Linked DNA regions of Sus scrofa. The protein of the gene in region 2 purifies or fractionates together with the protein of the main gene of each other region. This does not show direct contact. Links are inferred from orthologs where the notes say so. Each region holds a gene or a part of one and is shown on either strand. Other genes may lie near its edges. The genes, in order: GNA13 and ARHGEF1.

Region 1 (4,433 bases), on a different chromosome or scaffold from region 2:
CAGAGAACCAAAACTAGTGAAGGAAAAAGAAACGATAAAGTTGTACGTACAGCCTGCACGTCCAGGCTCTGAAGAAGGATCTGCAAGGTTTTCTGAGTCCCTCAAAGAGATATTTATTTATGAAATGTCAACAACAAACAATGTCGCCCTGTGGCCTATTTGGTCCCCGAGCACCGGCTGAGCCCAACGCTGAGTCTTCCAGGAAACATTCAAAACTCAAAAACTCCCAATACCAAGCTTTAAATCAGTGTGAGGCACACGATGGCCTTAGTTAGACTTCCCTAAAAGGAGGAAGACCAATTGCAAAAACAGTATAAAAACAGAGATTTCAAACTCATGGTGATTAATTCAAACCCATTATTTCTATCATTAAGCTGTTACTTTTAGTCCCTCTCAATAATCACATGGCTCTTAGGTCACTTGTTTGGATAACTGAAAAACTGTTTGGCTGTCAATTTTCTGATCATGCCAACTCAAAAAAGTAGATGGCTAGTGACTTCATCTCATAATCAAGGCTCAAAGTAGGTCACACTTAGAAGTCAGAGCACATTGAGAACCAGGTGTTAAAAGAGGGCCAGGTACAGTTCCTGTCGTGGCTCATCAGAAACGAACCCGACTAGTATCCATGAGGACGCAGGTTGGATCCCTGGCCCTGCTCAGTGGGTTAAGGATCCAGTGTTACCGTGAGCTGTGGTGTAGGTCGCAGATGTGGCTCAGATCTGGCATAGCTGTAGCTGTGGCTGGGGCAGAGGCCAACTGCTATAGCTCAGATTGGACCCCTGGCCTGGGAACTTCCATATGCCATGGGTGCAGCCCTAAAATGACAAAACAAACAAACAAAAAAACCAAAACATGAAAAACAAAACAGGGCCAGATGTTTATTTAGCTGGCTTATAATCAGTTAACATGTTAACTATTCACTGACAGAACTCCTTAAGTTTGGGCATCGGTATACAAAGGTACCTTCAATTAGAGCCTGGTTAGGCAGAGTCTTCGGCTTTGAAAGACACCTCAATTAATGTTGCACTACTAAACGTTAAGAAGGGATAAATACAACCGGTTTTTTTTAATAACTTAACTGCAGAGGTACTAGGGCTGGCTGTGGTCTATGAGTTCCTGGCGCAGTGCTCTCCCCCGTTATTAGCTTCACAAAGCTTCCCCTTCCCCCCCCCCCAAGCAGTTTTCCTCTACTCAATCCTGGGAGAAAAAAAAGTGACACCAGAGAGTAACTTAAGCACTTCCTGAACAACAAAAAAATCCCACTCAAAAAAATGCTGCTTGGAAAAGCTTGAAATCTATAGCGAACTCCTAGATAATTGCTACCCAGATGCAACAGAGAGAATCCTGACACACCTGAAGTACCAGACTCCGTACCGCAACTTTGGCAAATGCCTTTTATAAAGTAGAAAATATGATACAAAGAAAATGAAGTGCTAATTAACACTCAAACGACAAAAATAAAATCCCTCTTCTCTTAGCTCTTTGAAAGACCAGAAATAAAGTTCTTGTGCGTTTTTCACTTATTAACAAGGCTTAATCTAACTTAAAAAATACTGACAAACAGAAGCAGAGCCGACACTGATTCACTGACTCAACTTGTACAGGCTCTGCATCACTTCTAGGCCAAAGATTCTTTATTATCAACACACAGTTTAATTTAAGTAGTAGAAGCAAGTGGTGGTACCCCTTCCCTCCGGCCCCCAGTTACTAAGCAAAAGGAGAGTGGAACGTGTTGCATAGTGATTACAGGCAAACATCCTGCCCCACCGTGACACCCGGGCGAAAAACCACCGCTGCGAACTTTTTTAGACTAACTAAATGGGGCTACTCTTTCCTGACGCCAGTACAATAAACAGGACACCCTCAAGTTTCATATCCTTGCCCCAAAGGGTCCAAGAGCAGTCACCGTTCGCCCTTGACCAGAGTCTCGGGCAAAAGTTTCCTCATTGCGATGGTTCCAGAACACTGGAAGGGCCAAGGAAGCAGGGAAGTGGGAGCAGCCCCGATCCCATGTGACTCGGGCACCCACCCACCCGGGAAGGCGAGGCTGGGCAGGCAGCGCTGGGGCGTGGGGTCAGGGTGTAGGGTCTGGGGCTGGCTCTCGGGTCTGCTGCCTCGTCCGGAGGAGGGAAGACAGGAGGGGGCACCCCGCACTCCCGGCACCCGGCTCCCTTCACTTCCCTTCTCGCAGGGGGCGAGGCCAGCGACGGAGTGGGGGGTGGGGGGCCAGCCGGGATCCCTGCCCCGCAGCAAGAGGGAAAAGGGGCACCCCCAGGCATCCCCTCCGCTGGGGGCAAGGGCACCCCGGGCAGGCAGGGTCGGTGCCCGGGGCGCGCCCCCTTCCCGCGCGCCCGCCCGCCGGGCCCGTTTCTACTCCGGGGACTGAGCGAACGAGGGCGGTGCCCGGTCCCGCGCCGGCCCGCGGCCGCCCCCGGCCCCCGGCCCCCCGGCTCCGACCCCGGCCCGGCACCTTTGATCACGTTGCTGTAGATGGTGGGACGGAACTCCTCGCGCGCGCGCTGGTCGAAGTCCTGTCCGTGGATGATCCGCATCTGCTTCAGGAAGGTGGACTTGCCGCTCTCGCCCGCACCCAGCAGCAGGATCTTCACGAGCCGCTTCACGTAGGTCTTCTCCCGCGACAGGCATTTGTCGATCTCTTTGGACTTGCGCTGCTGCTCGGCCTCGCCGCTCGTCAGCACGCAGCCGGGGAAGCACACGGACAGCACGGACCGCGACGGCAGGAAGTCCGCCATCTTGCCGCCGCCGCCGCCGCCGCCGCCTCGGCGGGCCCCTCCGGCTCCCTCCACCTCCTCCTCGGGCGGCGGGCGGCTCCGGCACCGCGGCTCGAGGGCGGGGAGCGCAGTGGCGACCCGAGCGCGCCGGGGGAGGGAGGGAACCAGCGAACTGACTCGCAGGGCGGGCCAGGCGAGCCGGGGAGGGAGGGAGGGAGGGAAGGAGGGCGGGCCTGGGAGGGGCGGTGGCCCGGGGGACGTGCGCGTGCCCGCTGCCTCCGGGGGCGCGCGCGCACGCCGCGGCGGCTCCTCCGACCCGTGCGCTGGGCCGGAGAATCACGTTCTACTGTGAATTCGCGGCCGCCGTCAGGCGCGCGCGGGGAGGGGTTGAAGGGGTGGGGCCTTGTGTTCATGTGATCTCGGGCTGGGCGCCTTGCAGAGCCAGCCTTTCTGTTTCCCTTTAATTAGCTGCACCCACTTACGCGCCCAAGGGCTGCTTCCGGGAGCCCTGGAGGCTGGGGCCCGGAGAGAAGAACTCAGATGCAGCACTTTGGGTTCCCCAACCGCTCCCGCCGCGGTTACGTGCGGGTCGCCGGCTGTCATCGTTCGCTCTCCTAGTTTCGAGGCCATTGGCTTGAATGTTATTCAAAGAGCGAGCGCGAGTTGGGCAAGTTTTTGGTGCGTTTTCCTAGAGTATCTTCCTTGACATCCTGCTCTCACAAACTCAAAACGTTAACCAAACATCTTCACATCCTCCCCAACACCGGCCCGCAGCTCTCTTCGGTATTCTCTGAGCCCTACAAAGATCATCTCTTGGAGGAGAAAGACTTCGTGTTGATGTTAATCTGAGATGGGCGAGGAGGGGTTGTTGATGTCTCATTGATGCGGATTCCAACCCAAGCTGCTGAAATCAAGATGTAGCTGCAGTAGGGTGAGGTCATGGTGAAAATCCCCCTTAACCGGACACTGTGATGCAGACTCTTCCCTAACAAGGAAGCAGATAAGCAAACAGACCGAGGAGAAGAGCCGGCAAATTTTAGGTTTCCTGCCAGATTACAGAGGATATGACCAGCCAAGGGACTTTTTTCCTATCCTAATAGCAGATTCAGGCCAGGACACCTGAAGGGCTGCCAGGAGACAAGCGACCAGTGACAGCTGGGTTGGCCCCCAAAAGCCAACTTCTTCATTCTTGGTATTCTAGTTTTAAGTGCAAAAAGGCTTTTGGGGTGGTCTCCGTTTATGGCAGTACAACCCTAATGTTCCTTGATGAGAACTTCTGTGGCTCAGAAACGTCTATGCGTCAGAAACTGAAGAAAGAGGTCAGCACTCCCAAGAGGCTCAGGAACAGGTTTAAATTTTAAAAATCAGTGCTAATCAGTTCACTGTCTGGGTTGGGTTAATGTCCGAGGAGCCTCATGACTCAGTAAACTGGCTGCAGTAAACAGTGCCTGTAGTGGGATTATCTCCTCTTGTCCTGGCCAAGCCCACAGGGTGGACAAGCTACAATATACAAAGTAGTGTAGGTTCAACTCTTAATATCTAAGGATTGTTAGGGCCAGAATCACTAGGTGGTGCCTTCAGGTAAAATATAGGGTAAACGTCTCTCCTGGTTGCAAGATCTCTCTGTGGCCTCAGCTAGTGTTTGGGAGGCTCTGTTCTCCACCCATGAAAGGATGAACCAGGGCAGGGGTCTAGCACCGG
Region 2 (4,246 bases):
GAAGATGGGGCATCAGGATATTCCGCAAAGGTTAGGGAATTCTAGGTTGAAGGGGATGGATCTGCAAGCAAGTGACAAGGCCTGGTATCCTGTGGAGGGGGGTGCGGTATGCATGGGGCTGTTGGGGGGGTCCTAAAGCAAAGAAGGCACGTGTGAGGGGTTACATGGGTGCCTGGATTCTAGGCAGGGCTCAGAGTCTAGAAGATACTGAATGGGTGACTCTGGTCTCCAAGAACGTCTGGGAGCCTTAAACAACCTAAAATACAGAGTAGTCAAGGTGAGTCCTTGAAATGTATAAGGCCCCAGATTCTACTGACACATGGTAGGTCTACAAGGATCCTCAGATCACACAGGAGCTTGATTCCATAGGGGAAGTAGCCAGTTTATGGGACCTTTGGAGATTTAAAAGGGGACTAGAACCCTGTAGCGGAGTGTGGTGGTCCTGGAGATCCAGGATCCGGGCCCCGGATTCTAGCGGATGCAACTGATTTATGAAAACCCCACGTCTGTAAGGAGCCGGATCTCCATGGGGGGCTAGCAGGAACCTGGAGGGGTTGTAGGGGGGTCTCCACGAGCCCCAAATCATATGCAGGACGTGGCGCGTGTACACGGACCCCAAAACCTACAGGGGACGTGGCAATGTGCACCGTCAGGGATGCTGGGGCGGACGTGCAGAGTCAGGGGCTGATGCCCGCCGGGGGCCGCGTCCCTCACCTGCTCCGGGTCGGAGGAGAAGCACTGCAGCAGCCAGAACCGAAACCTCCGCGCGCCGGCTCCGGGTTCCCCCACCCCGGGCTCCGAGTCGCTCTAGCCGCCCCACAGGCCACCTTTGCTTCCGGCTCCACTCCTCCCGCCAGCCGCTCTAGCCCGATTCCTACCAGGTTCCTGCCCAGGAGACTCTACTCCTCCTTGCCGGCCGCTCTAGCTCTCCACTGAGCTACGCTGGCCAGATAGGGCCGCTCTGGCCCGTCTTGGAGGGCTGGCGTTTCCATATCTCGACTGCCCCCGTCACTCTCCTGGGCCCCACCCCCACCCCACCCCCCGCCCCCAGGCTAGAGGTAAGGATCCTTCCAGTGCCCGGATCGCGCTCCATCCGAGCTCTCTGAGTTGTCCTGGACCTTAGCCCCCGAACTGGAGTCCCCGCCCTATCTTGCCACCCTAACTTGGGATCCTTTGAATTCCCCACGCTCGTACATTAATTCTTCCCGCACTGCCCTCCACCCCTCCACCCTGCACACTTTCCGCCGGGGCTGCAAGGCGAAAATCCTGGGTTGGAGCATCTGACATGCAGTGGAACGCGGAAAAAGAAATTAACTCTCCCCAGGCCTCAGTCTTCCCATCTGTACAATGGGGAAAGATCTCCAGTTCTGTACCCTACAACCCATCTCCCAGGGTATAATTAAAGACCAGAAAAAGGTCTTTATACCCCCCCCCACAACAACAACCAAAAAACCGCTTTTAAACGCACTCTGCAACTTTCAGCTTCACAGTGGCCTATGGCTGTTATTGCCGTTTTTCTTTTTCGGTGGCTCTAAAGCATGCGGGTTTGGAGGACGGCGCTTAGCGGAAAGCACCTGCGAATTCGAATCCCAACTCCATTCGGTCTCACGATGTATGTGCCCTGGGATGAGTCGGTTTTACTTCCTAGGCCTCAGTTTCCCTACCCGTGCAATGGGAGTGGTCATCCGTCCTCCGCCGAACAGTTGGCGGTCCTTAACCCCAGAGTCTCAGCCCTCACCCCACCTACCCGGACTTGGCAAGTGTTAATTCTCCTCTCTTTGTCCCCTTTGACAGATGGGAAAACTGAGGCCTAGGGAGGGGCGGCTGCTGGCTTAGCGGGGCTGGGAGGAGGCCCTCCACTGCCGGCAGCGCCCAGCCCCCTCCCTCCACCTCCCCACTTCCCCTGGCAGCAGCGGGGAGGGCGGCCGGGCGGGGCCAGGGCCGGTGTACCTGGTGTCCGCGCGGGGAGGTGACCGGCGGGGCGCCCGAGGTCGGGCTCGGCGATCCCGGGCCCGGTGTCCCAGCTCCCGCTTCCTGGCTCTGGCGGGGCAGGAAGTTGGGGCGTTTTTCCGGAGGCCCCCGCCCCGCCGCCCCTCCCCGCTTCCTGCCTGCGCCCCGCGCCCGCCCGGCACCTCCGCTTCCTTCCCCTTCTGGCCGCCTGCCCCTCCCCTGCTTTCCCCAGATCGGCCCTGGACCTGCGGGCACCCGCCCCGCCCCGCCCCGACCCCGCCCGGCCTCTCCCGGCTTTGTCGGTCTATCTGTCCGCTGGGTGCGGGCTCCACGTTTCTCCCATCTGCGTCGACCATCAGTAACTGGCAGGGCCTGGGGGCCGTGCGCCCGCATAGCAGCCTCCCCTGCCTTCCGTCTTTGTGTGTCTCTCGGTCTTCCTCTCTTTTGTTCCTCTGTGTGTGTTTCTGTCCGTGTCCCTCTCTCTGTCTCCATCTCTCACTTTCTGCGTTGAGGTTTTTCCTTCCTGCTCCAAGGCCCCTGCTTCTCCCGGTTGTGTCTAGTCCCTTTCTCACTCGGAGCCTTCTCTCCCCATCTCCTGCATCACCATCAGTCATTTCCCCACCTGTTGCTTTCCTAGAGTCTCAGGGGTCAGCCTCTCCATGTCCATTTTTCTATGGACCCTACTTTTTCTGTCTCTTGCTGCTGTCTCTCTGCCAGAGTGTGGTCTCCTCAGTGTCTCTCAGTTCACTTGCTCTGTCTCTCCATCACTATCTTTCTGTCTCAGTTCCTCTCTCCCCTCTAGCTCAGAATCTGTATCTCTGTTCCTCTTGTGTCATCGCTTCTGGGTCTCCCCAGCACCCCCAATTTAGGGCCATAGACTTTCCGCATCCCACTTCTACAAGTTCACACCCAGAGAACAGGTGTGGCCATGATCAGAATTTGGTACCAATCTCACCATACAGTGCCCTGTGTCTTTGGGACTTAGCTCTGCCTAAATTAATGTGGTTACCTGGGTACTTCCTGTGTCCCCCTCTGCTCAGGCACATCACCTGGGATGGGCCCCTCCCCAAGACACTTCCTATTTCTTTCAGGGGGCAGCCAAGACTGGCTACCTGCTTGCAGGCATGGGGAGTGGGCAGGGGCTGCGGAAGGAGGGGGCTGGGGCCTTCCTTGGACTCCTGGGTCCCAGAGAAGGAGGAGGGCGTCCCCATGAGATCCTTGACTCCTGCCACTGTCTGCAGTTGGGAAGGATTTATTATCACTAAGTGGCCATGGCAGAGCAGGGATGGGGGAGGTGACACTAACGAGGCTGCTACAATCAGCTCCCCTAGAGGCAGAGATTAAGGGCTCATTACCCACTGGGGGCGAAGGGGTGGGGGTGGGAGCCTGGGCGAGGCAGCAGGAGGAGGATTGAGTGACGGAGGGGATGAGGACAGTCCAGAGGGAAGAATAGTGGACACTCCCAAGAGGGAAGTTGTCAGGACACACCCAGAAAAGACTGTGAAAAAAGAGCTGGTTCCAGGGAAGATGCGAGTGAGACGTGGGTTGGGTGCCCAGTTGGCAGGGCAGCCGGGCTGGGTCAGGCGGGGTCACGGCTTCTCTAGCTGGACGTCTCCGATGTGGAGGCTGCCCACGTCCTGGTAGGTGCCCTGGAGGCCCCGGGAGATATCCTCATACATGGAGCAGTCATCAAGGTTCAGGCCCTGGGGGAGAAATGCAGGGCGGGGCTCAGTGCCCTGATGTGCAGGTCCCTGCCCCCAGCCAGGCTCAGGGAGGAACCCCATGAAACCCCCCACCCCACAGACCTGCACCTGCCCTGCACCTGCCCCCACCTTCCACTCACCTCGTAAAGATTTTCATCATCATAATCATCCTGGACATCCGCCCCGAATTTCACATTCTGCCATCGTTTCTGTGGGGGGATTGGGAGCCTCCGTGAGTCGGGGAAGGGGAATGTTTTCAGACCCTCATGAGGGTGGGGAGGTGCTTTACCAGAGAGGGTCAGGGAGATGCCCAGGGCCACATATCCTATTGGTAGCAGGTCTCTCTAGGTTCAAGCCAGTGTCCTTTTGGCCCATGCTTCACGGATAACAGCGGCAGTGTTAGTAAATAGGTCTAGAGGCCCTGTGGCCTAAAGAGAGGCTGATGCAGGTCAGAGACTCCGGGAGGACGCCAGCCCCCATCACCCAGCCTTGGCTACACTTAGAGGCTACAGCCCTGCTGGGTGGAAGGGAGAGTGGACATGGGACAACCCTGAGGGAAGACAGAACAAGGATGCCCATCCAGGCCCAGCACC

The links.
Region 1: the proteins of ARHGEF1 (region 2) and GNA13 purify together in Homo sapiens (affinity purification with western blotting; 5 studies listed by BioGRID and IntAct, with this or other methods). This does not show direct contact. The link is inferred for Sus scrofa from reciprocal best matches to the Homo sapiens genes ARHGEF1 and GNA13.

What each region holds. Positions count from the first base shown.
Region 1 is NC_010454.4:11,963,837-11,968,269, forward strand, and holds the start of GNA13 (guanine nucleotide-binding protein subunit alpha-13), read right to left. Parts: upstream 3,078-4,433; 5' UTR 2,754-3,077; coding exon 2,471-2,753; intron 1-2,470. UniProt on the Homo sapiens protein: Guanine nucleotide-binding proteins (G proteins) are involved as modulators or transducers in various transmembrane signaling systems.
Region 2 is NC_010448.4:49,992,577-49,996,822, forward strand, and holds the start of ARHGEF1 (rho guanine nucleotide exchange factor 1), read right to left. Parts: upstream 2,859-4,246; 5' UTR 2,565-2,858; coding exon 1,951-2,564; intron 1,008-1,950; exon of another isoform or gene 715-1,007; intron 1-714. Other genes in the region: CD79A (B-cell antigen receptor complex-associated protein alpha chain precursor), read right to left, coding at 3,540-3,653, 3,794-3,862. UniProt on the Homo sapiens protein: Seems to play a role in the regulation of RhoA GTPase by guanine nucleotide-binding alpha-12 (GNA12) and alpha-13 (GNA13) subunits. Acts as a GTPase-activating protein (GAP) for GNA12 and GNA13, and as guanine nucleotide exchange factor (GEF) for RhoA GTPase.